Linked DNA regions of Rattus norvegicus. The protein of the gene in region 4 purifies or fractionates together with the protein of the main gene of each other region. This does not show direct contact. Links are inferred from orthologs where the notes say so. Each region holds a gene or a part of one and is shown on either strand. Other genes may lie near its edges.

The links.
Region 1: the proteins of Park7 (region 4) and Snca purify together in Homo sapiens (affinity purification with western blotting; 3 studies listed by BioGRID and IntAct, with this or other methods). This does not show direct contact. The link is inferred for Rattus norvegicus from reciprocal best matches to the Homo sapiens genes PARK7 and SNCA.
Region 2: the proteins of Park7 (region 4) and Eno1 fractionate together in Homo sapiens (co-fractionation; 3 studies listed by BioGRID). This does not show direct contact. The link is inferred for Rattus norvegicus from reciprocal best matches to the Homo sapiens genes PARK7 and ENO1.
Region 3: the proteins of Park7 (region 4) and Prdx5 fractionate together in Homo sapiens (co-fractionation; 3 studies listed by BioGRID). This does not show direct contact. The link is inferred for Rattus norvegicus from reciprocal best matches to the Homo sapiens genes PARK7 and PRDX5.
Region 5: the proteins of Park7 (region 4) and Pten purify together in Homo sapiens (affinity purification with western blotting; 4 studies listed by BioGRID, with this or other methods). This does not show direct contact. The link is inferred for Rattus norvegicus from reciprocal best matches to the Homo sapiens genes PARK7 and PTEN.

The regions. Positions count from the first base shown.
Region 1 is NC_086022.1:91,104,197-91,110,082, reverse strand, and holds part of Snca (alpha-synuclein), read left to right. Parts: intron 1-1,350; coding exon 1,351-1,493; intron 1,494-5,886. UniProt on the Homo sapiens protein: Neuronal protein that plays several roles in synaptic activity such as regulation of synaptic vesicle trafficking and subsequent neurotransmitter release.
Region 2 is NC_086023.1:166,000,613-166,007,059, forward strand, and holds the start of Eno1 (alpha-enolase), read left to right. Parts: upstream 1-2,748; 5' UTR 2,749-2,860; intron 2,861-4,108; exon of another isoform or gene 4,109-4,160; intron 4,161-4,816; 5' UTR 4,817-4,825; coding exon 4,826-4,910; intron 4,911-6,447. UniProt on the Homo sapiens protein: Glycolytic enzyme the catalyzes the conversion of 2-phosphoglycerate to phosphoenolpyruvate. In addition to glycolysis, involved in various processes such as growth control, hypoxia tolerance and allergic responses.
Region 3 is NC_086019.1:213,528,422-213,534,769, reverse strand, and holds Prdx5 (peroxiredoxin-5, mitochondrial), read left to right. Parts: upstream 1-2,651; 5' UTR 2,652-2,781; coding exon 2,782-2,949; intron 2,950-4,307; coding exon 4,308-4,442; intron 4,443-4,778; coding exon 4,779-5,159; 3' UTR 5,160-5,180; coding exon of another isoform or gene 5,181-5,219; 3' UTR 5,220-5,333; coding exon of another isoform or gene 5,334-5,395; 3' UTR 5,396-5,487; coding exon of another isoform or gene 5,488-5,593; 3' UTR 5,594-5,728; downstream 5,729-6,348. Other genes in the region: Esrra (steroid hormone receptor ERR1), read left to right, coding at 1-90, 432-691; Trmt112 (multifunctional methyltransferase subunit TRM112-like protein), read right to left, coding at 1,581-1,688, 1,774-1,863, 1,970-2,071, 2,159-2,236. UniProt on the Homo sapiens protein: Thiol-specific peroxidase that catalyzes the reduction of hydrogen peroxide and organic hydroperoxides to water and alcohols, respectively.
Region 4 is NC_086023.1:166,647,885-166,653,770, reverse strand, and holds part of Park7 (Parkinson disease protein 7 homolog), read left to right. Parts: intron 1-9; 5' UTR 10-26; coding exon 27-116; intron 117-1,213; coding exon 1,214-1,315; intron 1,316-2,694; coding exon 2,695-2,754; intron 2,755-3,436; coding exon 3,437-3,506; intron 3,507-5,886. UniProt on the Homo sapiens protein: Multifunctional protein with controversial molecular function which plays an important role in cell protection against oxidative stress and cell death acting as oxidative stress sensor and redox-sensitive chaperone and protease.
Region 5 is NC_086019.1:240,041,688-240,048,103, forward strand, and holds the start of Pten (phosphatidylinositol 3,4,5-trisphosphate 3-phosphatase and dual-specificity protein phosphatase PTEN), read left to right. Parts: upstream 1-2,019; 5' UTR 2,020-2,879; coding exon 2,880-2,958; intron 2,959-6,416. UniProt on the Homo sapiens protein: Dual-specificity protein phosphatase, dephosphorylating tyrosine-, serine- and threonine-phosphorylated proteins.

The DNA.
Region 1 (5,886 bases), on a different chromosome or scaffold from region 4:
TTAATATTTTTGTTTGTCTGGAGAGATGGCTCAGTGCTGAAGAGCACTGGCTACTTCCAGAGGATCAGAATTTTGTCCTCAGCACCCATGCTGGGAGATTTTCACCCTCCTGCAACTTCAACCCCAGGGGATGTGACACCACCACCTAGCATCCCTGTGTACTTGCATAACTGTGCACATACTTCACCCTGCCAGAAAATATATATAATTAAAATTAAATATTTTTAAAAGATGCACCCTTTTTCTCTACCATGTTCCTTTGTTATCTCCAAAATCTATGAAGAGCACATATGTACCCATAGGTCCTTTGTATGAAAGGCGGTTTAAGGAAAGACTTGTTTGAGATTTCAGCTGTTAGGTTTGGGAATATATGCACCGCTGTGAGCCATGTTGGCAATGAAATGCAAGTCTAAATGTGAAATGCATTTATATTTCAAATTCCTTGTACATATTGTCTGAGGGCAATTTCATGCTCTAAATGACCCCGAAGGATTCATGTGTTTGAATGCTCGGCCATAGAGAGTGGCATCATTTAGGAGGTGTCGCTTTGTTGCGGATGTGTTGTGAAGAAAGTGTGTCACTGTGGAGGTGGACTTTGAGGGCATATGTGCCCACTCTGTGCCCAGTGTGGCACACGGTCACTTCTGCAGCCTGCAGATAAAGATGTAGAACTCTCAGCTCTGTTCTCCGGCACCTTGCCTACATGCATGCTGCCATGACAATAATGGCCTAAGCCTCTGAAACTGTAAGTCAGCCCTAATGACGTGTTTTCCTTTAGGAGCATTTCTATGGTCATGGTGTCTTTTCATAGCAATAGAAACCTTAACCATTTTAGAATAATTCTCAAAATGTAATAAAATTCATGCTATGAAGTTTCTGCTAGTATCACATTGGTGCTGCTCAAAAGTGAAGAATTTAGGAACATTTTGGATTTTGGACTTTCAAAGTATTGACGCTAGATATGTTTGAAGTGTATACTTAGAAGGGATAATGGAAGTGACCCTGGGAAGTGAGGTCCCAGAGCTGAAACCATGCAGAGGTGCTCAGACTCACCACTTGACACTGTTGGATGCAATGTTTTCTGTCCTCTCACTTCAACGCAAACCAGATCCAGTTCACTTGTTGTTATGGATTATAATTAACTTCTGAATATTTTCTAATTTGTGCACTAAACTCATGTTTAGTGTTTGGCTGAAACATGTCACTTCTACCTTGCTGTCCTGTTTCTTCAGACTCCTGTTACCTATGGTACATGTGCCTATAGAAGTCGACAGCTGCTGGAAGTGGAATTGGTCAGGTCTCTGTGACACCACCATCTTTTAATCTGTTGTCACTCTTGATTTTCTTAAGTGGCTGAGAAGACCAAAGAACAAGTGACAAATGTTGGAGGGGCAGTGGTGACTGGTGTGACAGCAGTCGCTCAGAAGACAGTGGAGGGAGCTGGGAACATTGCTGCTGCCACTGGTTTTGTCAAGAAGGACCAGATGGGCAAGGTATGGCTGCCTGTTTTATGCTACAGTGATAACCCTGGACACCATGGTCCTTGCATGCCTAAGAAAGCATGCATACGATATGAGGAAGGGCTGACTTTAAAAGGCTCTTATTTCGATGCACTGTTTTCCTTGGGAAAGGTCATGCACACTGTACAATAACCCCGATTGTTATAGTTTCTGGAGGAAAGCTACAGAACTGAACACTGTAGTAATCCCTAAGAAATCAGTGACATTTCAGAAAGAATGGCTGCTTTCATGGGAATGGTGGGTCTGGAATTCCTCTTTATGGCAATAGAAAATGTTTTCATGAGTAATTTCTAAATTTCCAGGACGAAGATCTTTTATCTGATTTCTTTGTAATGACTTAATCTCTTATGAAATGACATATTTGCATATCACATAACTACTCAGTACCAAACATGATTTTGCAAACTGGGCTACTTAAAGTGCATACCAAACACAGACCATGGCTTCATATGGTGATTCTTACATTATCAGAATTTTAAATCTGCTTCTGGATGAATATAGGATGGTAGTGACATATTCTAGGTATTCGAAAAGATGTTTCACAACCCTCATGATCTTACAGTAGGATAAGTTTTGCATTTTTATGTCACATGTCCTTTTACATTTTTTGAGGGACTCCAGCTTCCCCTGGCCGGGCTTCTCCCCGTGCTCTTCCCCCAAAGCATGCACTTTGCTCTCAGTTCCTCTTCTCCTGGGTCTTTGTTAAATGATACCTTCCTTGAAATGCCTGACTTATTTAAAGTTGGAACCATTCTTACCCATGAAAACCCTAATCTTTCTACTCTTATTTCTTCTTGTTCGATAAAGTGTCATTGTATTTCAAATAAATTAATAATTTACTTATTTTGAATATGTTGTTTAGATTTCCTTGTCTAGGTAGGCACTATCATAATGTAAATATTTATTTTGTTTGTTGATACTTCATGTGCCTAGGCAAGTTACTAACTACAAATTCAGCGCTTACTAAGTGCTTATTAAGGATAGAAAGAAGGAGAAATGACAATTTTCTGAGTATTAATAATCATATAGATGCTATTAAAACCTTTGGGTATTGACTGATTCAAAAGTTGTAATCAAATGGCTTCTGAAGAGGACATCATAAAACCCAAAAGAAAGACACTTTCATCTGTGGGCAGACTATCTCAGTCTCTCTTTCTTTATCTCAGTCATCCTAGGTGGCAAGATAAACTTCATGGATAAAGGACTGGGAAATCCATAATGTGCTTTCCACAGACAGTTCCATTGTTAGAGCAATTAAGTGCAATCCCAGATAATCTAGGGAGTGCTCAGAGAAGTGCGTTGCTAATGTGAACACAGGACTAATGAAGTCAGCTTTGTTTGAGTGTAATATGCTATTGTAGTAATCTTGCTTGTGGTAATAATTATATTAATGCCTATTTTCCATCTGAAATTGTAATAATATGTTTATCTTTACCATATTTCAAAATTTAAGAGACATCAGTTTAATATTGAGGAGTCTAGAATGGAATTGTAGATTCATTGACAATCTAATGAAAAAAAGGGAACCACTTGTCTGAAAAATATATGAACACACACATGCACCAAAGCACCAAAGGAAGGCCATCAACAGACCCTCAATTTAAAACCAACTCCTGATTGTACAATGAAGAATATGGGATTTGTAGAAGGGAGGTGAGTGTCAGGTGAGTTACCTGATGACCCTTGCACACATCTATCTGCGGTATCACTTGCCTAGCTATGACAGCAAGACATACCTTCCTTTGTCTATAGACTGGGTTGAGCAATAGTAGAGTTAGTGGAAAAACTTACTGCTTCCGAATGTATACAGGCCAGGACGTATGCCTCACTCCATTTCCCACGTTGCCTGCATTCAGAATACACATTAAAAGTCACAGATGGTTTATTAAAAACAGTTCACATTTTGTCAACTCGGACTCGTTTTCTACCTTTTAAAATACCACTCCTTAGCTTAGTATTCTAAAGTAGAAATCTAACAATGTTACAAAATGAAACATTTGCACATATCTCTCCTAAGGGAATTAGCTGTAGGTTCCTAAAATTTTCTAATATAAAAATGAAGCCATAAACAGAAATTGCAGTAAAAAAAATTGGGATGAAACCCAGCGGGTATGTGCTTAAATGGTTGATCTTTGTAGCACAGGGGCCATTTGGTAGCGATGAAAGCTTGTGTTATGTGCCCAAGCCCCTTTCTTATGCAGTGAGGGAGCTCCCAGTGCTGCTACTTTATCAGAAAGCTGATAAAGCCCAGTCCAGCACTGAAGCTCTGAATAGGTCTCATCACTCATGGAATACTCACATAAAAGCCAGTGAGTATGGCTGTATTTCTTGATGCTTATACATATCTAGAGTTTAAATAGAATTGAATTTGTTTCTAATGAAATTTGAGATATTTTATTTCATCTTTCAGATTCTAGTTAAAATTATCTCGATGAAAAGAAACAAGCACATATTCCTTTACTTTTTTCTTTATCTTTATTAAATTGGGTATTTCTTATTTACATTTCAAATGTTATTCCCTTTCCAGGTTTCCAGGTCAACATCCGCCTAACTCCTCCCCCTTCCCTTCTCTATGGGTGTTCCCCTCCCCATCCTCCCCCCACTACCGCCCTCCCCTAACAATCATATTCATTGGGGTCCAGCCTTGGCAGGACCAAGGGCTTCCCCTTCCACTGGTGCTCTTACTAGGCTATTCATTGCTACCTATGAGGTTGGAGCCCAGGGTCAGTCCATGTATTCCTTTACTTTTTTAACTGATTGTCAGTGACCCCGTTTGGCCCATTTGTAAGAAACTTGGAGAAGAGGGTTTGGATCAGTAGTGCTCATACACAGCTGTCTAATAGAAGGAATTAGCCACACTTTATTTTTTGGTTGTTGGAGTCTCAAGGATCAGGAACATTGGGGAAATCTAGAGTGACCTTGGATATACCCAACATGCTTTCTGAGGGTATTTGTCCTATTGCTTCCTCGATGATAAGGGAACAGGCACACTTTCTTCTTTCCTTCCTTTCTTCATATTTGTGCCTTCTTGTTCGGAACTAATCAGTAACAGTTCATTCTCGGTCCTATTATTTTGTAATTTCATCTCTGATTTGCGGTGCCTAAGGTAATATTTGTCCCCAACTTTAATAAGGTACAATTATTAAACTGTAGAAAATTGTATTTATCTTCTAACACATGTTAACAGCACAGTGTTATGTCAAGTACTCATACAACCCAAAGTTCTTGTAGTAATCAAGATATTTAACATAATCAATGCCTTAAATGACTTTTTCTCTTATTGTGCTAACAGTCAGGTATTATTAACTGCAAGAACTGTGTCACATGTTAAGTTTCATGGGTATTCCCTTCCTCCCCTCTCCTTATCCTTGATAACTTATTACCTGCATCTTGCTTTTTCTTCCCAGTCCCCAGCTTTTGGTAGCCACCATGCTAACCTGTTTCTATGGATTGGATGTTATTTTAGAATACGTTCTACAGAGAAGAGAGATCACAAAGTATGTACATTTGTGTATCTGGTTTATTTTGCATTATATAATGTCCTCAAGGTTTATCTATGCTGTGGCAAATGTAATTATTTCTCTATCTGTAAACACATTTTGAGGACTGAATAATATTGCATTTGTACACATCTTTTACTATAATTACTCTTTTTTGTAAAGTTTTTATTGGATATTTTATATATTTACATTTCAAATGTTACCCCTTTTCCCCATTCCCCCCTCTCCCATACCCCTCCCTTTTTTTCTATGAGGATGCTTCCCCTCCCACCCATCCACTCCCACCTCAACACTCTGGTATTCCCCTAAACTGGGGCATCAAGCCTTCACAGGACGAAGGGCTTCTCCTATTGGTACCAGACAGTACCTTCCTCTGCTACACATGCAGCTGGAGTCAGGGGTCCCTTCATGTGTATTCTTTGGTTGGTGGTTTAGTACCTGGGAGCTTTGGTGGGGTCTGATATTATTGTTAGTCATAGGAAGTTGCAAATCCCTTCAGCTCCTTTAGTCCTTTCTCTTACTCCTCCACTGGGGTCGTACTCAGTCTGATGGTTAGCTGCAAGCATCATCATTTGTATCAGTAAGGCTCTGGCAGAGCCTCTGATGAGACACCCGTATCAGGCTCCTGTCAGCAAGCACTACTTGGCATCAGCAATATTGAATGGGCTTGGTGGCTGCAGATGGGATGGATCACCTGGTGGGGTACATTAACCTTTTGTTTGTTTCCACATCTTAACTATTGTGAGTGATTTCTTTCTTTATACATAACAATACGATTATCAGACAATATGGTAGCTGGGATTTTAGTGTTTAAGGAAGTTGCATACAATCTTGGTAATGACTCAGTTATATTCCTAGCATCTGGT
Region 2 (6,447 bases), about 650 kb from region 4:
TCCCGATTCTACCAGGTTGCTGGGATTCCAGGTACATGCCACTATCCCCGAGTTATTCTGTGGGTTGTGTGTGTGCTACCGAGGTTCACTACCAACTGAGCTACATGGCCTAGGTCCTCCTTCCACAAAGAGGTATTTCATTTTCTCAGTTGACTAGAGGTTTCACAGGTGGGTCACAGGACACATGCTGGTCTCCTTTTCAGTCTAGTGTCCAGCTGCGGGCAAGGCCTTAAAGTCTAACATTCCGAAGTCTCGGTAATTCATTTCCTCTCCCCGTGCCTTTGGTCTGCCACTGCCATGCAATTGCCCAGCAAGCTACTGTCTGTGAGAAATGACAACAGAATGTCTGTAATAAGGGAAATAACCCTGTGCTGACTGCAGGCGACTCTGAGCAGGGCCTGCAACAGAGCCTGGAAAGCCACGGAGACACAGGGCATGTGGCAGGGCAAGGCTTGTGGAAAGATTCCCACTACAGCTTGAGGTTGAAATGTTGGCTCAGGATTTCCCTGTGTGGATACCCTCAGAAAGCTCGCAGCGGCAGCAGCTGCCTAGCGAATGTTCCGTTTTAGATTCTTGCCTGATTCACTGGGTCTAGCAGACAGCTGTTTTAATCTATCTTTATCTCCCCAGCCATTTTACTGTAAAGTGAAGAGGTTGTCAGGAGACCTCTCAGTGCCGAGGTCTTAGATTCACACAGAAGAGTTCAGAGTGTCCGATTTCTCCCGGTTCTTATAAAACTTGGGAGAAGGTTTTTGATTTATTTGCTGAGTCATGGGACTAGAGACATTCGATGTACGCAGCCACCACACATCAGTGTATTGCTGGTGAAGTCACAAATCATTTTACAATTTCCTTGATGGTCCTCGTTAAATTTAATCCCAAAGATCTTGCTTCTTTAACAATGGAAACTTGTTGCGTGTACTAACACCTTGGACTCAATAACCCTTCAGTTTTACCCAGTGCCTTAGAAACCTCAGTCAGGAGCTGCCTGGAGCAGAAAGCTAAGGGTTATTAAGCAGCTTCCTGTAGCTGACTAGAAGATATAAAAACCAGTCAAGAACACATTTCAATCTCTTCCTGAAAGACAGATAATACAGAAAAGATAGAAACATAGGACATTAACTCCCAGACTACAGCCTAAGAGAAATGTGGAGAAAACACAACAGAAAGAGATGTGTTCCCTTCAGTGAAGTGTGTGCTTTGCAGAAATTGAGAGCCAATTTTTGTAGTGTTTGAGACAAGATCAGCCCTCTTAGTAGCTAAAGCTTGTCTCAATCTGATGGCTACTTTCTTTCTTTTTTAATTAGTCTTACATTTTGAGGTTGGGGATGGAGGTCAGAGGACAGCTTGTTAGAATGAATGAATCCTAGGAATCAAACTCAGGTTACTACTAGGTGTGACTGTTGGTATCTTTGACCCTGAGCCATCTCAAGGGTTCTAAGACACGGTTTTTGTTTTTTGTTTTGTTTTGTTTAAAAAAATTTTTTTTGTTGGTTGTTTGTTGAGACAGGGTTTCTCTTTCTTTCTTTTTCTTTTTCTTTTTTTTTTTTTTTTTGAGACAAGGTCTCATTGCTTTGTCCTATCTAACTTAGAATTCACTATGTAGACCTGGCAGGCCTTGAACTCAGAGATCTGCCAGACTCTGCCTCCCGACAGCTGTGGTTAAACACCACCTTTATTTTCTTTATCAGAAAAGTAAAATGGCTCCACCCACCCCTTCCGGACATTTGTCACATCACTTTGTAGTATCAGTCTAAAGCTTTGAGAAATGCCTCGGGACTACATCAAACCCCAAACTCTAATCACGATTATGGATCTGAAGAGTCCGGGGAGGTTTCATCTAGACCACTGATGGGGGAAAGGTATTATTAAATCTTTCAAGAAGGGGACAGTAACAGAGATAGAGAATGAATCCACACTGAGCTAGCACATCGCAGAAAACAGGGAAAGTTCTAGAGTAGGGTGGAGTGGCTGGGTGGGTGTAGCACAAAGGTACTGCCTTTACTTAGCATGAGTTGGACGGTAGGATTCGGTATCCTCCACACAATAACAAATGAGTAGGTAATATTAAGGGAAAGTTTACTTTCCTTTGGGTAACTCGGCCTGAGACTCATTACAGAAAGGACAAAAGGACGGGGTCACCTTGGCAGATGGCACCAGAGAGCCAGGACCAGACTTGGTGGAGGCGGGGGGCGCCCAGTGCGCAGGCGCAGTAGCACATGCCCCCCCCTCCGTCAATTCCACGCGGGAGTGAGGCCCCTAGGCCGCGCATCAACGTTTCCACACCGCCGGGGGCTCCAGCACCTCCCGGCGGGGGGGGAGGCCCACAGGAAGGCCCAGCCCTAAAGGTCATCAGCAAGGTCGTGGGCCGGACGTGAGGCGCTGCAGCCCGGCCGAGTGCGTGTAGGACTCGGAGTACGTGCCGCGGGCTCAAGCCCTCATGCCTGCCGTGCAGCCCCGCCCCGCCCGGCATCCGGGCTCTGTAGACCCTCAGCTAGGCCCCAGGTTCCCAGCCGGAGGCTCGCCCGGCATTCCGCCTATGCCTCAGGCAGGCGAGGCCAGCCAGGAAGGACAACCCCCGCCCCCGTGCCCTTGCCCCTAGACCGGGCAGGCCAAGCGGCCGCCTTGGTCACGCTCTTCTCGTGGAGTGACGGCAGGCAGAGCCAATGGAGTGGCGGCACGGAGGGTGGGCGGACTCGAAAGGGGAGAAGTGGGTGGGGCCTAACGAGCAGGCTAGGAAGTCGGAGTGGGAGGCGCTTAGTGCTGCTCCGGTACCGAGTCGCGCTCACGTTTGTCCTTAAGACTCCCTTCGGTGTCTCCAGGACCCTCTTTCCTTCCTCCGCAGCGATCCTACTGCCAGGTATGGTCCGTGTTCCCCTTGGGCACAGCTCGCCTAGGAACTCCTCTTGGTGACCCGGTGAGCTCGGTCACCCCCTACTCTGGGCGCGAGCCGCTACCCTGGGAGCACTCGGGTCAGCCTCGTGGAAGGACGCAGGCTCTTGGAGGGTGGAGGTGCAGGCCCTCGCAGTCACCACCGAGCTTCAGGGTTGGAATGTAACCGGGTACCCAAGCGGACAACAGTAAATGCAGGCCACGGATAATCGCGGCCGTGGAGAATAAAAAAGTACTTGTTTCTATGTAGCTAAGTGGAAGGTTTTTGAGGGAGAGAGCGACTTAACCCCCGCCCCGGTGTTCATTAAATTTTTTCTCAAAATGGAAGGGCGATAAATAAGGATGCCCAAGAGGCAGAGCGCCCCACCCTAGTAGATCCTGCTGGGGCTGTGTCTCCTGAACCGCAATCGAGCGTCACTGGGCGGGAGTGGTCCAACCCATCTCTGCTCTGGAATATTACTGACCAGTGAGTGTCGGTTAGGTACTTGTAGTAGAGGAAATTGCAGCAGTCCCGTTGAATAAGTGGGAAGCAAGCCCTCAGGAGACCTCGACCGAGTTAGGCAAGAGCTGCGGGCTTACTGGGTGGCTACTAGTCGTAAGAAAACTTCCTGTCCTTTCTTGCCTAGACAATGTGGTCCCTTAGCTGACTTGCTTTCGGGGTAGGCCAGAGCCAGTCTGAGGTGATAAGCCTGACTGACCTCTAGATCCACTTTCCTGCCCTTAGTCCGGCGTTCAATCCCGATAGAGCGAGTGGGTGAGGTTTTCTTTGATTAGAGACCTTTGCTGCCTAGCTTAAAGATCCAAGCTAGATGCAAATGGTGGAAGGGGGGACCAACTCCTACAGGTTATAAAGCCTCTGCAGAGCGCCGCGGTGGCACGTGGCTCCCGCGCCCCCATAAAGGAACCAGGCCTGGTGATGCACACTTGAAAATCTAGCGCTTAGGGATGCTGAAGATGGGGATAACCGAGTTCGGGTCAGCTTGGCCTACATAGGAAGTGCAGGTGTGAGATTTTATAACAGTGGATAAAAAGTGGGTACTTTATTCCTGGTTAGTGAATAAAGGTCCTTTGTCTTAGAGAAGACAAGCACAGAAGTAACTTATATTGAAACAAAAAGTATGCCTTTGCTTCCTTGACCTCACCAGAAAAGGTGTAGGGAACCTATTTAGATAACAGCTTCCGAATGCTAATTGTCTTAATGTCTCATCCAATTTAGTTCTAGAAGCCGTTTGGTAGATTCCTTTCTTGGAAAGCCTGCTGGGGAAGAAGTAAGAAAGGGACCTTCTTTTTAGACTTGCTGTTTGTTGCTCAATATCCTCTTTCTCTGGGGTGTTTTCTAATTAGACATCTACTTTGGGTACCTTTTAAAGGCGAGACAAGGTCTCCCTTTGAAATAGAAGTCAACTCTTGCCTAAATATGGCGGCCATTGAACCCAGGACCGCCCACGTGTTAGGCATCTAGCCTGCATGTGCCACCGGGCTAGAGAATGGCAGTACTGATGACCACCAGCCAAGGAGTTTGGGATTCTGCCTTCCTCTCACAATTTCTTACTGGTTATCAAATCTGTGTCTGCTGAATGTTCTGCCCTTGCCATGGGTACAACTTGATGAATTGGGGTTTCTGTTTCCACAATCACCCTGCTTCACAATGTTGCATTTCCCTCCGGTCTACAGGTCTGTTTAATCGCTGACCTGCCTTCTCTGTTACTTCCCACTTCGCTGCGCAGCCAGAACATAGTTCTGTCCAGTTTGTATTTACCTAATTGCCCACAGAACACTTAGCTTCAGAGGGCTATAAGTGACTTCTGTACGTAGCCCACTTGTTCTCTGTCCAGGTCCAGGATCTTGGGGGTGATCTCTTGGGATAAATAAACCTTCTATATTAGAGTTTATGGGTAATATATGAACTATTTTCCCCCTACAGAACTTCACCATGTCCATTCTCAAGATCCATGCCAGAGAGATCTTTGACTCCCGCGGGAATCCCACCGTTGAGGTGGATCTCTACACCGCAAAAGGTACACGAACCCACATTATTTCCTGGTCTCTTGCACCACAGTTTATTGATAATGTGATGGGGAAGCAAGGCAGAGTCTGATCTACTCTGATCCCTCTGAGCCTTCCACCCACTGAGCCATCTGCCACCATGTCTGGCTTTGCTTCTTGGTATTTAAGACAGGATGTGGGTTGGGTAGGTCACCGGGGCAGGGAAGTAAGGGAGGGCTTAAGCCCTGGCTCCTGAAGAAGCCTGGCCTCCTGATCGGATCAGCCAATGGAGGGGGAAGCCTTCTCTCCCCACATGAAAGGAAGGAGACAGCCCGGAAGCTCTGCTTTTTCCTCTAGGCCAAGCTACCCATGGTGAGGAACTCGTGTGTTATAAGGGAGTGGGGATATAGTTTGGCAGAGCATTTGCTTAATATGTGGGAAGTCCTAAATTTAAATCACAGCATTGCAAGGAGAGATTGGCTGGGTGTGGCAGCGACTACCATAAATCTCAGCACTTGGGCCTGCTCAGGAGGGAGGATTGCCAGTTTTGAGACTAGCCTGGGCTACATAGCAAGGCCCTGTTTCTACTACTCAGAGACAAAACAAAAAAAAAGCCCACCCCTGCTGATTCCAGCATCTAGATGTAGAGATGCATGTAGTGGGTGCCATAGGAAAGAGGCCTGGGGAAGATGTAGCAACGTCTTACAGAGCTCACAAGCTCACCAGTCTGGGCTGAGTCATTGTGTGACTCAGAATTCAAGCACCAGAGCCCAGCCCTACCTACCCGTTGTCCCAGGAAATGAGGGATCCTCAAATCACCAGCATGTGCCTGCTTGTTGGCCGCCATTGTCTTTGCCAGGGGTTCTCAGCTGTGTTCTGGCAATGTTTCCTGGTGAATACCAGGAATGCTAGGTAGCATCAGGTGTCAGATAGCAGGGTTTGGCTCCACCTGCTGGTGACATCGTGCATGACAAGGTGTCTGATAGCAGGAGATGGCTCCACCTGCTGGTGCAGCTTTACCCCTAAATTGACTTTTTTTTTCTTTTCTTTTTTTTTTCTGGGGCTGGGGACCAAACCAGGACCTGGCACTTCCTAGGCAAGCGCTCTACCACTGAGCCAAATCCCCAACCCCCTAAATTGACATTTAAACAGTCAAACAAGACGGGTGTCTTAACTGTAGCTCTTTAGAATCTTTATGCTTTCGCCTGCCAATGAAAAGCGCTTTTTACGATAATTAGTTTATCTTGCCATAAGATTTCCTGTGTATGTAGCCTACACTGAAGTCAAGTCCTCAGTCTTAGGTGCTGAGATTGGAACTGTGGACCAAGATATTTGGGGAGGTGATTCAGTTAGGAAAATGCCTGCTGTGCAGACATGAGGCTCAGCGTCCAACCCCCAGGACCCACATAAGAACCCAGGCCTGGGGATTATGTGTCACCCTAGTCCGTGTACCCAGCTTTTGCACTGTGAATCTATGTGTCTGTGGCCACTGACAAGCCTTGCCTCACCTAGGCCAGGACCATCTGGATATGCAGGAAGTCAGGGTGGGCACAGACAGTGCTACCTTGC
Region 3 (6,348 bases), on a different chromosome or scaffold from region 4:
CCCTGCTGCAGCTGGTTCGGCGGCTGCAAGCCCTACGGCTGGAGCGGGAGGAGTACGTCCTGCTGAAAGCTCTGGCCCTTGCCAACTCTGGTGAGTATTCAGGGGAAACACACACAGGTCTCCCCATAAGGTCCTCCAGCTGTCGATGGTGGTGGTATGTTCCTTTTTTGTGGATAAAAGACAGCTAAGGCTTAATTATTGAAAATAACCAAGTAAGCCAAGGCCCTGAATTATACATGGGATTCTGAGCCTTTGGGGGGCTGACAAAGCAATGGTGAGAGGGGAAGTGGGGAGGTTGAGAGGTGGCCACAGGTGAGAAAGGGTGGGCCCTGGCTCACAGGCCAAGCAGTGAGTGCATTGCCCCACCCTGTGGTGTCCAAACAGATGAGTCCTGCCCCTTAGTCTCTCAGCCAGTGGTTCTCTCCCCCCAGACTCCGTGCACATTGAAGATGCTGAGGCTGTGGAGCAGCTGCGCGAAGCCCTGCACGAGGCCCTGCTGGAGTATGAAGCTGGCCGGGCTGGCCCTGGAGGGGGTGCTGAGCGGAGGCGCGCAGGCAGGCTGCTGCTTACGCTGCCACTCCTCCGCCAGACAGCAGGCAAAGTCCTGGCCCATTTCTATGGGGTGAAGCTGGAGGGCAAAGTGCCCATGCACAAGCTGTTTTTGGAAATGCTTGAGGCCATGATGGACTGAGGCAAGGGGTGGGACAGGGTGGGGTGGCTGGCAGGATCTGCCTGGCATAGGGTGTTAGCCCCAAGGGGGCAAAGCTGGAGTCTGGGCAGTGCCACAGCCTGCTGGCAGGGCCAGGGCAATGCCATCCGCCCCTGGGAGCAGGCTTCATGCCCTCCCCTCCCCCCTTTGGGGGGGATTGTCAGAAGCCAGGAAAGTGAATGCCCAGGTGTGGGCACAGTGCTGCCCCTTGCAAGCCATAACGTGCCCCCTCCCAGAGTGTCGGGGGCCTTGCGGAAGCCATAGGGGGCTGTAGGGGATGTGTAGGAGGCAAAAACTGATCTCAGGGAGGGAAGGGGATGGAGACCACAGTCTCCCAGTGGGTGATGCTTTTGCTGCTGCTTACTCCGACCTCCTCTCCAGAGCAGAGGGGGGCTTGGAAAGCAAAGGCCCTGCCCCTTCGCTCCTCTCCTCATTGCATTGGGCATTAGTGCCCCCCCTTGAAGCAATAACTCCAAGCAGGCTCCAGCCCCTGGACCCCTGGGGTGGCCAGGGCCCCCTATCAGCTCCCACCTCAAGGGATGGGGGACAGCACTGCCTCTACGCCCTGCAGAGCAATAACACTATATTTATTTTTGGGTTTGGCCAGGGAGGCGCAGGGCCATGGGGCAAGCCAGGGCCCAGAGCCCTTGGCTGTACAGAGACTCTATTTTAATGTATATTTGCTGCAAAGAGAAACCGCTTTTGGTTTTGAACCTTTAATGAGAAAAAAAATATACTATGGAGCTCAAGTACACGGTGGTTGGTGAATCATTGGGGGAATTTGGGGGGTCACGCACGACACATCTAGTTAACAGACCATACAACAGATAACACACACAGTCACGAAACACCAAAGATGTGGCTAACAAGGTTACGTCTCGGTTTCCTCATCATTCAACAGCATATTGGGGATCCCGCGGCTGATGGGGAAAAGACGACCAGATTCTGGGCATTGCAGGGTGCCCTCCAGCACATCAACCTGCGGGGGAGCAGAGCAAAGCTAAGCACAGGAAACCTCAGGGGCAGTGGGGGGAGCTAGGCAGGTGATGAACAAGGATTCTCACCTCAAGCAACACATGGTGCATCTTCCTCAAAAACGTCTCATCGTGCTCATAGCCTTCAGTCGGCTCTTTGGGTACCTCGGCCAAGTTTAACTGTGAAAAGGAGGTTTACTTGGTCAGTGGGCACACAGACACCGAACCCACCCCGGCAGGGAAGAGCCCTGCCCCCGAGGGGTGACAAAAAGGGCGGGGTTCTCACGGTGTCCGCTGCCTGCACAAGCGCCGCCCACTCCACTTTGGGGATCATCCGCGCCACGAAGTCGGGGTTGAACTCCACAGGGTTGATGCGGACCTCGGTGGCCTGCGGGGAGAAAGGTTTGGCGAGGTAGGTCCGGGCCCCGAAGTCTTTACCCTGAACTATAAGGGGCGACAAACCTTGTGCAGTTACCTGCAGGCGCAGCGGGAAGCCACGCGTGCCCACGCCCCGCACATGCGAGCTGAGGAGATTGTGGGTGAGCAGTTTCATGTTGTCGCACCGGAGCTCCGGAGGCCGGAACCGGAAGGAGTCCACACTTCTCTTTTGCGCCACTTCCGCTGCTGAAGCAGTTGGCTACTTCCCCGGACCGGAAGTGGTGCACTTAGGGGAAATTTTGGGGCTTTGCGGCAACAGAGATGGGAAGAACTGTGTTGGGTCAAGTTTTGATACCGGAAGCGTTTCTCGGGAAGATTGCAAACCCCGCTCTCCGTAAATGGTACATATTATGCAAATCACATGTGTCGCGGCGCTCTGGTTGAATGTAAAACAAGCACATTTGAGGCTTAGCCAGATTACCCCCCGATCTCTGTTTGCAGTTAAGGGTCAGAAACGGTCACATCGGTAAGCCAGGAACTTCTTTCTGTATACAAATAAGGCGTGCGACCTCTGGAAGATCCGTCGCGTCACAACGCGTCACGGCCCAGCCCTATAAGCGGGCGTAGTGTGTGCGGCGTGCTGGTGTGGGCGGAGCGGTCTTTGTACCCACCTCCTGTGGGCAGAGTCATCTGCGGGTGGGCTGCGGCGGCGGGGCGGGCATGGTCCAGCTGAGGTTTTGCGTCCTAGGCAGCATAGCCGGATCGGTGCTCCGTGCATCGGCTACTTGGACGTGCGTGGCAGGCAGAGCAGGCCGGAAAGGAGCAGGTTGGGAGTGTGGTGGGGCCCGCAGCTTCAGCAGTGCCGCGGTGACTATGGCCCCGATCAAGGTGACCGGTTTTACCTTTCCTGGGTCCAACCTGTCGCGTCTCTTTGGGTTCCACACGGGGTCTCGGATCTGTCCTCCTCGACATTTCTTCTTGTCATGCTTTCTGTAAGACCTTGTCGTTGCCTTTCCGTCCTAGGACATTTCTTGAGCCGCCCTCTCAAACCTACTATGCCACTGCCAGGGATCATTTTCAAGCGACCGAATGCTGTGTCATTTCCCACATTTTTGAAATATCTCTTTTGCCGCTTGGTCGCTTTTCAAACCCTTTATACACTTCACCAAAGCCCCAGCCCTTTCCGTGTTGTACTAGACTTCGCCTCATCTTTTGCAAGAGCTGTGTGGTTCCTTGGAGACCGGGGTCTGTCTTTCCCACTTCTGTCTCCACTTTGTGAATGCTTCCCCGCCCCACTTCTGTTTGGTCTTTCTGGGAATTCTTGAACGTATCCCCTCTCCTGTTCTTGGACTTCAATTTTAGAGAAAGAGAGAGGAAGGAAGGAAGGGAGGGAGGGAGGGAAGAAGGAGAGAGAGAGAGAGAGAGAGAGAGAGAGAGAGAGAGAGAGAGATTGATTGATTGATTGATTCACTATATAGTCTTGGCTGGCCTGGAACTTGGAGTGAGACTGGTCCCAAACTTCTAGAGATTAGTCTGCCTCTGCATCCCCAATGTTAGGATTGAAGGCCCTTAAAAATAACAAAACAACTTTTAAATACCTACTTGTTTATGTGTGTGTGTTTGGTAACAGGCATGTGACTCTGGAGGTCAGAGGACAGTTTCCTCAGGAGTCAGTCTTTCTCGTATGTGGATTGTGGGGAAAGAACTCAGGTGATGAGGCTTGGTGGTGGGCAACTTTACCTACTCACTTCATCCTTTTCCTTTCTTCTGTGGCTCCAGGAAGCCTGGTGGGCTGACTCTGAGAGCCCACGTCCTGAACAGTTTTTGGCTTAGGCATCTTCCCTGGTTTTCCAACATGCTTCTCCTGGTGTGTGGGTGGGATTTTTCTCCTTCCCTGTTACTAGGTGCTTTCTCAACCCTAGACACAGTCCTCTGCATTCCTCCTCTGTGCCTTGATCCATCTTGGGTGGCTTTGTTTTCACAGCATTGCAACACTTGAGAAGGCCTCTCCCTTTCTCTGTTGCCACCAACTGGCCTTAAGCAGAAAAAGGCTTTGAAACATGTAGGATGTGGGGCTGGCAGGAGATATGGAAGATTGAGAGAGCAAGGACAGAAATGAACCCCTGGGACCAGATAGGCACTTTCTGTGCTGGGTATAAACACTGGCTCCATGAAGGTCTGTCTGTAGGGCTGTGGTCTATTTGGCCTCTCTTTACTCGGTCTTACCCTGGTGTCCTTTTCTCTAGGTGGGAGACACCATTCCCTCAGTGGAGGTATTTGAAGGGGAACCTGGAAAGAAGGTGAACTTGGCAGAGCTGTTCAAGGACAAGAAAGGTGTTTTGTTTGGAGTCCCTGGGGCATTTACACCTGGCTGTTCCAAGGTGAGATTTCTCCTTCTCCAGAATCAGAAACTGGAACCGGGAGCGTGGGAGAAAAGAACCCCGATAAATCTGATAGCTTTGATTATAGCTGCTGGTGGAAGCACTGTGAAAATCACTTGGGAGACCGGCTAATGAGGCAAAAACTTTGCCTATGGGATTTCATGGTCTTGACCAGAGATACTTAGGTCCAAGCTTCCTGGTAGCCAAGGCAAAAAGGAAGTGGTCTGTTTCATACTGGCTTCCTTACCCTGATCAGGGATGTTAGGAAATAGGAGGAGGAGCAGGCTGAGCAAAACCAGCAATTGTCTCTCTTTTGACTCTTTGTTTTCCTCTTAGACCCATCTGCCTGGGTTTGTGGAGCAAGCCGGAGCTCTGAAGGCCAAGGGAGCACAAGTGGTGGCCTGTCTGAGTGTTAATGATGTCTTCGTGACTGCAGAGTGGGGTCGAGCCCACCAGGCAGAAGGCAAGGTGAGGTGTGGGGCCTGTGAGGGGTCGGGGCCAGGTAGAAGGTTTCCTTGTTTTTTATTACACTTTATTTACTCATTTTGTATGTGGGGTGGGCACTTGTACCATTATGCACAAGTGGAAGTCGGAGGAGAGCCTGTGAGACTTGATTCTCTCTTACCATGTAGGGTCATGGGGATTGAACTCAGGTTTCCACACTTGCCAGCAGGCACCTTCACTTATAGAGCCCTCTCACTGGGGATTTCCCTGTGACATTTATTCTCTTTCCTTCAGGTTCAGCTCCTGGCTGACCCCACTGGAGCTTTTGGAAAGGTAAGCGTACCACCCTTCCTTCAGCCTGCAGTTGGTCCTGCAGGGACATGTTATGTGGGAGCAGCCCCTGGCCTGTTTGGGGGTTCCTGACACCCATTTCTGCCGGTCCCCTAGGAGACAGATTTACTACTAGATGATTCTTTGGTGTCTCTCTTTGGGAATCGTCGGCTAAAAAGGTAAAGTGGAAGTCCCCCCTCCCCCCACTGGTGTTGGCACTAGGGGCCCTGGCTGCTGCCTGGGCTTCTGCAGTTGTACCTCTTTCCGGCAGGTTCTCCATGGTGATAGACAAGGGCGTAGTAAAGGCACTGAACGTGGAGCCGGATGGCACAGGCCTCACCTGCAGCCTGGCCCCCAACATCCTCTCACAACTCTGAGGCCCTGACCAGAATGTCCTCTGACTCTCCCATCTCCTCCACCCAGCTCTGGGCCAAAGGCCCAGTACCTCCTTACCTGAGGGCCACTGGAATGGAACCTTGACAATATTTCTGCAATAAACAGTTTAATTTGTGTCTTTGCCTCTGGCATGGAATCGTCTGCTTCGCCCTTACTCACCGGTAGCCATAGATAGAGCTGAAGTCAGTGGCAGAGGTTTGGAGGAGAAAATGGAGGGACAGCCGGGATAGGTTTCCAGAAGGTAGCATCCTCTAAGCTAGCCTGAAGCTGAGAGGAAGCCGGAATTGGTTTTGCTTGGTACATCATGGGACAGCTGGCGCTTGGCCTAGGAGCTGGCAGACTCCATTGACTTTTTTTAAAAAGATTTATTTATTATACATAAGTACACTGTAGTTGTCTTCAGACACACCAGAAGAGGGCATCAGATCCCATTACAGATGGCTGTGAGCCACCATGTGGTTGCTGGGATTTGAACTCAGGACCTCTGGAAGAGCAGTCAGTGCTCTTAACCGCTGAGCCATCTCTCCAGCCCCCTCCATTGACTTAATACACAGGGCTGGAAGCTTTGCATTTTGTGAACTGCCATTCCTCCAGAAGCACCCTGGCTCTGGCTTGGCTTCATCAGAGCACACAGTACCAGGGTCAGGACAGAAGACTTCCCCAGGGAAGAGCCTTGGAGAGGTGTGGCCGGTGGGGAGTGGGAATCTGGGCCAAGAGCCAGGGTTGCCAGTGGGGC
Region 4 (5,886 bases):
TTTTTTTAGGTCTTTAAGAAATAGAAATGGCATCCAAAAGAGCTCTGGTCATCCTAGCCAAAGGAGCAGAGGAGATGGAGACAGTGATTCCTGTGGACATCATGCGGCGAGCTGGGGTGAGTTCCCCTCATGGGCAAGCCCTCCCTGTCTTAAAAGGAGGGGACTCTTAAGTCATTTTTACTTGTTGTTGATGTATGTGAGCCCGCATCGTATGGTGCAGATGTGGAGGTCAGGGGCTGTGTGTTGTCTCACGGGCTAGCCTGGGCTCCTCATCCTGTGTTTATATAACACGGCAAGCTTTCAGTGCACTCATGTTTGCCAGGCTTACCTTGTGTAAGCGTTTCCTTACCGCAAGGATGTTAGCTCTCTGCCTCTTCTCACAAACCCCAGGCAGAGACAACTCAGCCGCGCTGGTTTCCAGTTAGAGCAGGGCTCAGCCCCAGGCAGCCTGTTCATTTCTTTATAGCAAAGGGCCTGACACCATGGGAAAGCCACTGCCCCTCTCCTCCAACGACAGCCTTACGAAAGTGGAGGAAATGCGTCAAGGCTTCCGTTTATCCTTTGTGTGCATATGAATGTTTGCCCGCATGGCTGTGCACCACATAAGTGCCCAGGACCGGAAAGAGGCCAGAAAAGGATACCCGATTCTAGGGTTGTGGGTGGTTGTGAGCCGCCATGTCGGCGCTGAGAACCAAACCCTGATGCTCTCAACCACTGGGCCACCTCTGCACCCTCTTAGTAAATGTTCTCTTGTGGGGTTCATTTGCGCAAATGTGAGGATGGCTGTTCAGGCTCTGCACCTGAAGGTGGCGCTGCTGGGCCAAGACTGTGTAGTCATCGTCACTGGGTTTTGACAAGTTGTCTCCAATGTCCCCTACTAAATGTTTTGCAGGATAAAGTGTTGTTTAGTTGTTTGGTGTGCACTTCTGCTCTGGGAAAAGCATGTGAGGTTTGACTGATAACAAGGGTGACCCTCGCATGGTGGGTTATTAGGATGGCCCGGTAACTCATTTCCCAGACCCAACACTTGAGGAATAGAGGGTGTTCTAGCCAGGCCATTCCGGGTAAACCAGAAGAGACCAGGAATTTGCCATTGCCTGGGCTTGGTCCTGTCCTCCCTAACGAGTTACTTACAAACCACAGAATGGGTGTTAGAGTTGCTGCCCCGCACTGTGCGTGCTTTCCTGTTCTTGAATACCTGTTCTGTCTCTAGATTAAAGTCACCGTTGCAGGCTTGGCTGGGAAGGACCCCGTGCAGTGTAGCCGTGATGTAGTGATTTGTCCGGATACCAGTCTGGAAGAAGCAAAAACACAGGTTTGTTTTGTCCACGTGGACTCTTCCTGCTTGGAGCTCATTAGTTCTTTGAAACAGCGTTTGGCCCTGTCTGTGACAGCAGTTAGAACAGACTTCCTTTAGGAGAAGGACTTGGCCTGGGTGGAGGCTCTGGAACCCTTAGTCAGTAGGTGGGTGGGGTGGGCAGCGTGTGGCTTAGTGGGAGAACACTTGCCTAGGAAGGCTATGTGTTCCATTTCCAGCACCACAAAGACTAAGTGGATGGCACGTACTACAGTGTATACTATTATGATAGCACTCGCGCTCGCTCTCTCTCTCTCTGTTTGTACTTTTTAATTTCACCATGTTTAAAATTAATTAGGTTTTTTTTTTTTGGTGTTCGAATGTTTAAGATATTAGGATACTGTGATTTTTCTCTTCCCAAAGTTTCATAATGCTAACTTTTTTCTTTGCCTTTTAATATTTGGGTTTTTATTTTTAGCTATTAAAAGTACACTGCCTGTATTTTCTATTGAAAAAGTCACATGGTAGAGACGTTTATATATAAAGTTTATATATAAACATATATAAAGCACCCCTCTTATCTCAGGCTGGTCCCTGTCCACTGCTGGGTGTATTTCGTCTGCGAGCATCTGTGGTGTTGATGAATATCTGTTTGTTTTGGTGCACATGAGTGTGGTGGCTCCCTAAGGCCCTGTGGTTGGCGCTGTTTCCTCTCTACCCTGGTACATTTACACTACACATGCTCCCTGGGCTTCCTTCCGTACATTTTCCATCACAGATTTTTCTGCATTTTAAAACACACACACACACACACACACACACACACACACACACACACACATATATATATATATATATATATAGAGAGAGAGAGAGAGAGAGAACGAGCGAGCACGCACAGCACACACCCCAGAGAACAGGTAGGGTGTTGGGTCCTGTGCAGCTGGAGTTAGAGGCAGTTGGGCCCCGTGTCAGTGCATTTTTTTGTTTGTTTACAGTGGTTTTTTTTGTTCCACAAAAGGTGCACACCTTTACCACCTTTATTTGTTTCATTTTGGATGGTTTGTTATTGTTGTTTTGAGACAGGGTCTTGGTATCTGGCTGGCCTCAAAGTTAGTAAGTAGCTGAGGGTAGCCTTGAACCCTTGACCTTCCTGCTTCTACCTCCTTCTATGGGTGTGCACTACTATGCCTGGCACTTACTTTTTTTTGGTGTTAGAGTCAAACCCAGGCCCTCAAGCATGGTAAGAATGTGCTCTACCACAGAGATTCATATAACTCCACCCCCAGACCCCACCCCTCACACCCCGCAGGCATACATGCTGTTCTTTGGCAGATACTGGGCTGCCATTTAATACAGTAAAACTGAAGTGTTCCCTTTTGTTTCCCGACTCACAGGGACCATACGATGTGGTTGTTCTTCCAGGAGGAAATCTGGGTGCACAGAACTTATCTGAGGTAAAAACTGCACTGTCACAAAAAAAAAAAAAAAAGCTTGTGGAGAAACTCACAGCTTCTGCCTTGTCGCCTTGGTATGCTTCAGGATGTGCTGTAGGCACAGGAGAAGCAGCAGAGGTTAGCTCTGAGTCCAGCCTGCCCACACAGTTCTGAGAACAGCGCTGCAGATCTCTGCTGCACACAGGCTTGGCGAGTGTGGACTGGCGCAAGGCTGCAAGCTTCCCAGCTGCTGCAGCAGCAGAGTGGGTTAAGCCTAGAAGGTGCTGCCTGCTCTGTCATCGGGGTTGAGGACAGCTGCAGGACCACAGACAGGATGACATGAGAGGCAGCCATTGCTCTTTGTTTCGAGCTCTATGTGAAGAGTCATGCAGGAGAGGCAGGAGCAGGGAGTGGGCTGTACCTCCTGGGGGTCTTTTCCCTCTGCCATCTGAAGCTGCTGAACCCTGTGTCCCCTCACTTCTGCCTCTTCTGGAGCACAGGACAGGGTTATGTGTCTTAGTGACTTTGCTTTGTCTTTCCAGTCTTTATTGGGCCTTTCTCTTGGAGTGAATGCCATTGACCAGGCTTGAGAACACAGACACACTGGGAAGCTGGTTAGAGCGCTTTCTGGGAAACGGCTAGAAGTGAGTTAGGCTGGGAGTGACAGTCTCAGTGGTGACTGGCGTTTGGGTTCTCTCTCTAGTCGGCTTTGGTGAAGGAGATCCTCAAGGAGCAGGAGAACAGGAAGGGCCTCATAGCTGCCATCTGTGCGGGTGAGTAAGTGCGGGTGTGGGGCATGCAGCGGCTGAGGCACTGGCCAGTCTCTCAGGGCTTGACTGCACACAGCTTGCCTTCATGAAGCCAAAAGGCGCCCACACTGGCTGTTTGGTTTGGGTGGCATGAACTCCTGTCTCGGCAGCACTGAGCCCAATTGTTGAGCGTTCTGTCTCTGTGCCCTGGGTCGCTGTCTGTGAAGTTCGGTGTTTTCCCTGTTTGGTTGACCTCAGGGAAAATAAGGCTTCTGGAATCCAGCAGACAGCTTGTTCCAGCACATCTCTGTGCCAGCAGTTAGGCCTGCCAGGAGAGTCAGCAAGAATTTGACCGGCACAAACGCCACACATCTCCCCGGGCTCGCCTGCCTCTAGGGCATGACTGAGCCTTGGCTTGAGTGCTCTTGAACACTCCTGCTTCAGATGAGGGCTTTCGTCCATGTCCTGAGCCTTGAAACTCTGATCGTTTGCTTCCTGGCCCACTTAAAATCCATGCTGTTGCTTTAACATCAGGCGATGTTCTGGCATCTGGCGTCTTCCTCATCCGATGCCTGAAGTGGTCACAGAACAAATGGACAGTGACTGAAGGGATGGATGGTTTCTTTGGGGATCAAGGGACTCTATCCTAGCTCTGGTGCCCTGGTTTCCCCCCAAGGGACAAAGCAGGTGATGCAGGGACCTCTGTGGCTATTTGTGTCTTGTTGAGATGACGGCACCTGTCGAAGCCATCTTTCAGGCTAGGCACTATGCTATACTCTGCTGTTTTAAAACTTTCCCTGGGGCTGGAGAGTTGGCTCTGCAGTTAAGAGCGCTGGCTGCTCTTGCAGTTCAGTTCCCAGCAACCACATGGCTGCTCACAACTGTCAGTAACTCCACTTCCAGGGAATCTGACATCCCCACACCAATGCATATAAAATAAAATTAAATAAAAATTTAAAAAAATTTCCCCATTTGGACCGGCTAGGAGACCAAGCTATAACCGCAGTGCCGTGGTGGTAGAAGCAGGAGTACTGTGAGTTTAAGACCACCCTAGGCCACATAGGAGAGCCTCTCTCCACAGAAGAAAAGAAAGAAGGGAAAACGTGAGGATAAGTTGTAAGTCCCCAGTGCAGGCCCTAGCATGGCTGAGTTGTATGTGCCTAGCGTGTGGGAAGTCCTGGCTCTGTTCCCAGCACCAAAAACACACATGGGAAGCCAGTCTTACTCCCAGAAGTGGCAGGTTGTGGGCATCGGGATCCAGGGATTGCTGCTTGAGTGCACAGTAGAGAGCCAGTGGGAGCCCCTGCACATCAGCTCCCCTGACAGGGCCCCGGCCTGAGCTCTCACAGCCACAGCTCAGGGGTTTCTGTTGGTTGATGGTTGCTATCCGTAACCGTCCTGTCCTGACTGGACGGGAAGTCTTTCGCTGTGTCTGGGTGACCAGCCTCCCTACGGTTTGCCTGGGTTTGTTCCTTAGACTTGGCTGAAAGTAAACAGCAGTGTCATCGTCTTCCGTGTCATGGACTAGAATGTCGGCAGCTGAAGCTGGCTTGCTCGCTTGCTTGTGCTCAGTCAGGCCTGAGGGCCAGCCCTTCCTCCAAACCTAGTCAGTGTTAAAAAAAGAAACTAGCAGTCCTATGTCACCGTCTCAGAAGGATAAACAGAAAAACCGGGGCGACTCGGGCAGAGGACGGAGCTCTGTGATGAAGCCTGTCTTCATCAGCAGGAGGTCTCAGTTGTTCGCCTCACCCTTGGTGCTGCTGAGTCCAGAAGAAAGTCATTGCAGGGAGGCTTTCCTGAGGATGAGTCAGGGAGAGAGAGGGAAGTTTGCAGGGGAAGGGGCCCTGGGAGTCAGAAGCTTGGGGTGTAAGGGTTCACCTGGAACCCAAGGAGTTCTAGTTGGCTGGGTGTCCTTCAGGCGTCCACCAGGCGGCGCTGTAGGAAGAGGCGGGGAGGGGGGGCCCTGTCTGCTGCCAGTTCCCAGAGCTAACTTGGCATGGTCTTCATCAGAGGCTCAGGTGATGGCAGTGGTGATCAGGCCATTAACTCCCCCCCCACCCCCCACCCCCAAAAAAAGAAACAAACAGTGGTTAGTTGCTTTCCATGACGGGACGGCAGCCATGCTTACCTTACCAGATGTGCTCACATAGGCTCATTGCAGATGCTCTGTGTAAGCCATGGTATTTAGAGTGGTGGCTATTCACGCTCTAGGTGTTTGATTTAGAAGAATACTTTTCCTGCTAAGCGGTTTTGGTTTGTTTTTTCTCTCTTTTTCTGGAGCAGGGCCCTCTATGTGGTCTTCATTGGCCTGGGACTCGCTCTGGAACTGGATCTGTAGACCAGGCTGGCCTGGAACTCACAGAGATCCACCTGCCTCTGCCTCCCATGTCCCTGGGCTCACAGG
Region 5 (6,416 bases), on a different chromosome or scaffold from region 4:
TCAGCTTGGGTCTCAGGTCAGAAATACTTTAGAACTCAAATTGCCACCCCGAGAACTAAGTCTCCTGGGAAAAGAACAATAAGGAAGAAATCCCTACCTACATCGGAGTTGATGTCATTTTTTCTCCAAGCTCAAGGTGATCGCTTGCTTTGTGGCTGGCTGGTGGGGGAGGAGGGGCTGTGCGCTAGTTATCAGCATTTCTGAACCAGCTCTCTCAACCGCGACAGGTCAGCCAATCCCGGCAGTAAGCTTTTACTTGACAGGTTCGTTCTGGGCTGACAGCCATTGACTAGGTGCTCAGATAAGTCACTTGGCTGAGTCTACGGTAGGTGGGGCGCGCTCACCAGTTCAGGGGCAGTGACTGGAAGTTTGTTGCAACATCGGTAAGCCCAAGCAGCCAGCAGCAACAGGAGATACCCTTTTGCCCCACGAGTACAGATCTAGAAAGGGTTCACCTCATTAAGCGGAGATGCGTCAAACCCCCTAGGGCCCTGCCTTTTCTCCCACGGTTGGGAACGCGCGGTGTGGGCAGATCCAGAGCAGAAGTCTCGTGTCCCGGCCTTCTGGCTAGCTCTATGGGTTACAAGCGAAAGGGAGGAACAGCTTGGGGACTCTCAGCGTCAGCGTTCACAAACCGGCGGCGGCCAGCAGAGAGGGGTGGCGGGGGCACGTGCTTGGATGTGGCTGCTTGTGTAACCAGCTCCCCAGGCGCTTGGCCCCGACAGCGCTCCTGCGGACCGCTCGTGGGTGCTATTCTCCGCTCTGACTCCGAAGAGAGGGGTTCAGCTGCCTACACGGGGCATGGGGTCCCGGAAGATCATCTAATAGAGAAGAGGGGACCAAGCTCCTGCCTCAGGAGCACACAGATAGGGGAATGGGAATTTGGAAAGTTCCCCAACTAGGACCACACGTGACCTCCTCCTGAAAGTAGTTCCGACTGCGGCTCATGTATCCTTCCACCTAGCCTTTGAGCCCTCCCAGGCCTGCTCGCCCCGCCCACTCGCTGGCTGCAGCTTCCGACCGTCCCATACTCCACACCCGGGCTCAGTAACCGGGTCCTCGAACGTGCACCGTCCGACAGGGTCAGAACTTGGCCACCGCGATCCAATTCTGCCGGGTTTTCTTAGCGGCCACGAAGGGGGAGGGGCGGCTTATCTCCTAGAAGATGGAGCCTGACTGTGATCCGGTGGACCTACCGCTGCGGGGAGCTGCGGGGCTCTTCGCCGGGAGGTGGAGGGGTGTGTGTGAGGTGCACTCTATTCACGGAGATCCACTTTGTCTACCCAGGGGTGTCCTTTGGGCCCTGGAAACTCAGGGGCAGATGTCAATGTACACGCCCCGTATGCACAATCATCATGCTTGGCTGGGAGCGTTCATCTTTCGGGCAAATGAACCCAGCTGCCTGGGAAGCAAGAGGCGGGGCAGGGAACCGGAGCCCGATGAGGTGACCCACGCGGGAGACACAATAGGGGGTTGTTCTTTGTGCAAAGACTGACACCTTGAGGACACCGTGGGGGTGAGGTGCGCTGTCTAGGTAAAGACTTGCCGCCGACAAATCCTAGGAAGCACTGCAATCTGACCACAGCGCAGGGCAGGGCGTGCAAGCCGCTCGAAAGAAACACAGGGACCTACGCAGGAAGGGTGAACCTGGCCCTGAGGTTCCTAGGGTGCTGACCAACGCGGTCAGCTAGTCCGATCCACCTGTGAGCGGTCAGCGATCCTGCTCCGCGCACCCTCGCTCGGCCACAACCTGCCCTACCCTTTGCCGGGTCTCTGCGCTGAGGCCGAAGCCGGCGTAGCTCCAGGAGCGAGCCGCGGCCACACTGGGCATGCTCCGCGGCGCTCCCCGCCCCTGTCCCACCGACGCCCCGCCCCTCCCCGCCCCGCCCCTCCCCCGGCTCGGCGCCCGCCTCTCGCCTCCCTCCGGCTTCGGAGGCGCCCGGCTCTCCCGGCTGGGTGGCGGAGGGGGCGGGCTGGCCGGCGCACGGTGATGTGGCGGGACTCTTTGTGCACTGCGGCAGGATATGCGCTTGGGCGTCGGGACGCGGCTGCGCTCAGCTCTCTCCTCTCGGAAGCTGCAGCCATGATGGAAGTTTGAGAGTTGAGCCGCTGTGAGGCCAGGCCCGGCGCAGGCGAGGGAGATGAGAGACGGCGGCGGCCGCGGCCCAGAGCCCCTCTCAGCGCCTGTGAGCAGCCGCGGGGGCAGCGCCCTCGGGGAGCCGGCCGGGCGGCGGCGGCGGCAGCGGCGGCGGGCCTCGCCTCCTCGTCGTCTGTTCTAACCGGGCAGCCTCTGAGCAGCTTCGGAAAGAGACGGTGGAAGCCGTGGGCTCGGGCGGGAGCCGGCGCAGGCTCGGCGGCTGCACCTCCCGCTCCTGGAGCGGGGGGGAGAAGCGGCGGCGGCGGCCGCGGCTCCGGGGAGGGGGTCGGAGTCGCCTGTCACCATTGCCAGGGCTGGGAACGCCGGAGAGTTGCTCTCTCCCCTTCTCCTGCCTCCAACACGGCGGCGGCGGCGGCGGCACGTCCAGGGACCCGGGCCGGTGTTAAGCCTCCCGTCCGCCGCCGCCGCACCCCCCCTGGCCCGGGCTCCGGAGGCCGCCGGAGGAGGCAGCCGCTGCGAGGATTATCCGTCTTCTCCCCATTCCGCTGCTTCGGCTGCCAGGCCTCTGGCTGCTGAGGAGAAGCAGGCCCAGTCGCTGCAACCATCCAGCAGCCGCCGCAGCAGCCATTACCCGGCTGCGGTCCAGGGCCAAGCGGCAGCAGAGCGAGGGGCATCAGCGACCGCCAAGTCCAGAGCCATTTCCATCCTGCAGAAGAAGCCTCGCCACCAGCAGCTTCTGCCATCTCTCTCCTCCTTTTTCTTCAGCCACAGGCTCCCAGACATGACAGCCATCATCAAAGAGATCGTTAGCAGAAACAAAAGGAGATATCAAGAGGATGGATTCGACTTAGACTTGACCTGTATCCATTTCTGCGGCTGTTCCTCTTTGCTTTTCTGTCACTCTGATAACGTGGGAGTAGACGGATGCGAAAATTTTCTGTAGTTGGGGTGACTATAACGTTTAATACTGGTCGCGTTTCTAGATCGTGTATTTTCTGTCTCTTCCAGTGTATTCAACCTAGGGAGTGTTCGGCTAGACGGAACTCATGCCTGCTTGCAAGTGTCAAGGCACGGATTGGTTTCTTGTCGAGCTCTGTGGTTTGTTCTTAAAATCTATTGTCCGTTAATGCAGAGTACTGTACACTGGATTAGTCGGCTCGTCAATCGAGCCTTCTAAATGAACTAAAAAAAATAGACGCTGTGGTGTCGTGCATATTTCGATTAGATCGTGACTTAGGCCCTAGATCTAGGGTATAGATCAGATTAAAATGAAAGTCCGTGCAGCACGTAGGCATATTGCCTCAGAATCTTGCAGTGATTTTTTTTTTTTTTTTAGTTTCCTGGGTTGCATTGGAAGATTTTTCTAAAATGTGACTTGTGGACTGATTTGCATAACTTTATAAGCATGGTCATCTTCAGCCTAGACCGTGCACATTTGAGGGTAGAAGTAGGTTTGTGTGTTTAAACTGAGGTAATTACAACTTTGGAGCTGCATTTAGAAGTTTTGTAGTTTGAAATCAATAGTATTATTGGAGCTTTTAATAGAACTTTTTTAAATTAGACTTTCCTGATGGGGCGTGGGATAGGATATGAAATTTGCATTTCAGTAGTATGTTCATTCACTTGGCCTTGCCATACATGATAGAATGGAGATGGAGTAGTTTTTGATCCCAGATGATGGTGTCTGTGGGAGTTTAGGGATGCTGTGTCTGTATGGCAAATGACTGCAGAGGTTAAACTCAGCTCTCACGTGAGATTTAAGGAGTAGCATGAATTTGCTGCTTTTTTTTTTTTTTTTTTTTTGGTTTCAGGTGCTCTGACCCGTTGACTTATCTGTGTGTTTTACCCTGTTTTGTGTAGAACATCAAATATAATTTAGCCAGCTAATAGCCAGACATACTGGCAAGAATGGATCACCATCTCCAGACTGTAGGTATGCTAGCTCTCTGCATACAGTAATTTACTGAGTCAGCTTGTTGAATAAGAGAAACCCAAGAATTTTAACGGCGTAGAGTCGTGATCGTCTAAAAGTTAGGTCTTTGTACTTCAAAAGTTCGTGGTTTAAAGCATTTACCGTTGCAGTTTCAGGTATGGCAGGGGTAGGAAAGAGAGGCCTCCTCTTTTGCAGAGTGGGAAGTATTGACAGAAATTGAGAGGTTTTGGGAGGCCAGTGTGTCAGGTGTGTGAAAACACAAGTTGCAGGTCTGAAGAAACAGCCTTTAAATGATTGGGCCTTTTGTTACAACCCAAAATTTTGTTATGTGACAAGCATTGAAGTGAACAGTAAGTATTTAGTTAAAATTATGTAATTGCGTAATCAGTAATAAGATATTCTTTGCAAAAGGTATTTCTTAGTTACTATTAGTAGATATTTTCATAAGATAGAAGGACAGCAGCAACTTGTCTATACATGTCCGGCTAATAGCATTATGGGACACTTTATTTATTGAAGAAAAATTTTCACTTGGAAGAGGTTTGATGGATTGCGTTAATGGTGTAAAAAGCATAGCTAATTTTGATGGAGTTTTTGTTCTGAAATGAAGATGAAGCTCACTGAAGAGCTGGCTTCACAGAGGCTAATTTTCTTTCAAGCTAAAAATACAGTTTGAGAGGAATCTTTAATTTTTGAGTTTGCATTAATTGAGAAAGCTTCACTCAGGGTGAACTTGACCCTTCTAAAAGATAATTGGAGAAAATTCCAAGTTGTCACTTGCTTCAAGGCAGTTTACTGTTGGTACAAATTAATGATAGTAATCTTCATCTAGAAGGAATAGTCAGGTACCTATTTAATTAAAAAAAAAACCCACATTCAAAGAAAGATCTAGAATGCCTGATAGACTTCTCGAAGCTTCCAAAGTACACTTCTGCTTTGCTTTGCCCTTCCCATAGGACTTCAAGATTATTTTGTAAATTTTTTTTTAGTATGAGAGTGACGTGATTGCAGTTCCTTATTTGATTTCATAGTGCATGGGCTTCTGCATGTGCAATTTATGTGGCTTAGAAATCCAGACCTGTACTTTTAGTTATGGTATGCATAGAAAGCAGTATCAAATATTGCATCAAATGACTAATAACACTTAATTTCTAGAGCTGTGGTTTGATTGAGCCCAATGTTGATGTGAAAACGAGTCAGTAGGGGAAAAGTCAGTGCTCTTCCGAGAGGGGTGCTCATATTAGTTTTGATAAGCCAGAGGGCTTGCTTCCTCATTAGGGTTTTCTGTGTTTGGGGGCAGGGATTAAAATGATCATTGAAGATTCGTGCTGGTCAGTGTTGGCAATGAGGTTGGCCAAGTTAAATTCCATTATGAAAGTAATAACTTGGCTACTTTTATTTGCTGAAGGCAAAATTGAATTACTGTAAGAATTTGTTTGGTTGGATATTATTCTTAACAGTATGGAATGTGAGAAAGCAAGAGTTAATGTCTAAAGGACATGGAAGGTTCAGACTTCTGGTACAGCCTTTTTTGTTTGGTAGATATACTTTTCAAACACTTAGCACAGGAATATTAGTACCTCATAGCGAGAATAGTGATTATTATTAACATTAGCTGTTTTGTTAAAGGCAAGTGATTGTTGCAAGTAATTATGGTTTCCTTTTTAAAAGACTCTACAATCTTTATCTTGCCTTTTTCATAGACATTTGTGTTTCTTTCCTGAAAAACATGACTAGTATAATTTGCAAATATCAGTGGGTCAAAAGGAGTAATTTTCAGTTACGTATAATTCAGTATAAGGAAAGGAAGTTTTATTACTGTCAATTTTAAAGTTTACACAGCAATAGAGTGATGTAGACTGAGATTCCTTATAAAATATTAAAGATTAAATGATTCAAGTTAAATATGATGATATATAACTTGGTTAATTTTAGACTTACATTTAGAAATTCGTGGCCTTTAAAATTTTTATTCTAGTAACTGGAGAAAGGCAGATAGTGTATTATAATTTTAGTATGGAACATTATATCTAACTTATAATTACATAAAATTTATAAGTAAGTATTATGAAATAGCTTACCTTCTGGAAATGAATTCAGTTCTTATTTTCAAATGTTACAACATGAGATTTGTCTTTTTTTGCTGTTAGTTTGTTTATAGCTTGACAGCATTTAAACAATTTTTAAACCACTTCTAAAATAGTCACTTTGATAACTTGATTAGAAAATTGTGTAGGAAAAAACAGGAAGTTTGAACATTCATTTTAGTAAATACTCAGTTTTCAATATTTTCGTTTATGTCTGTTTTTAGTAAGCCCCAGAGGTAGTGTCTTTATGTTGATATATATGTAACTTCAGAGTTGGCAAAGATGAGTGTAGAATCCT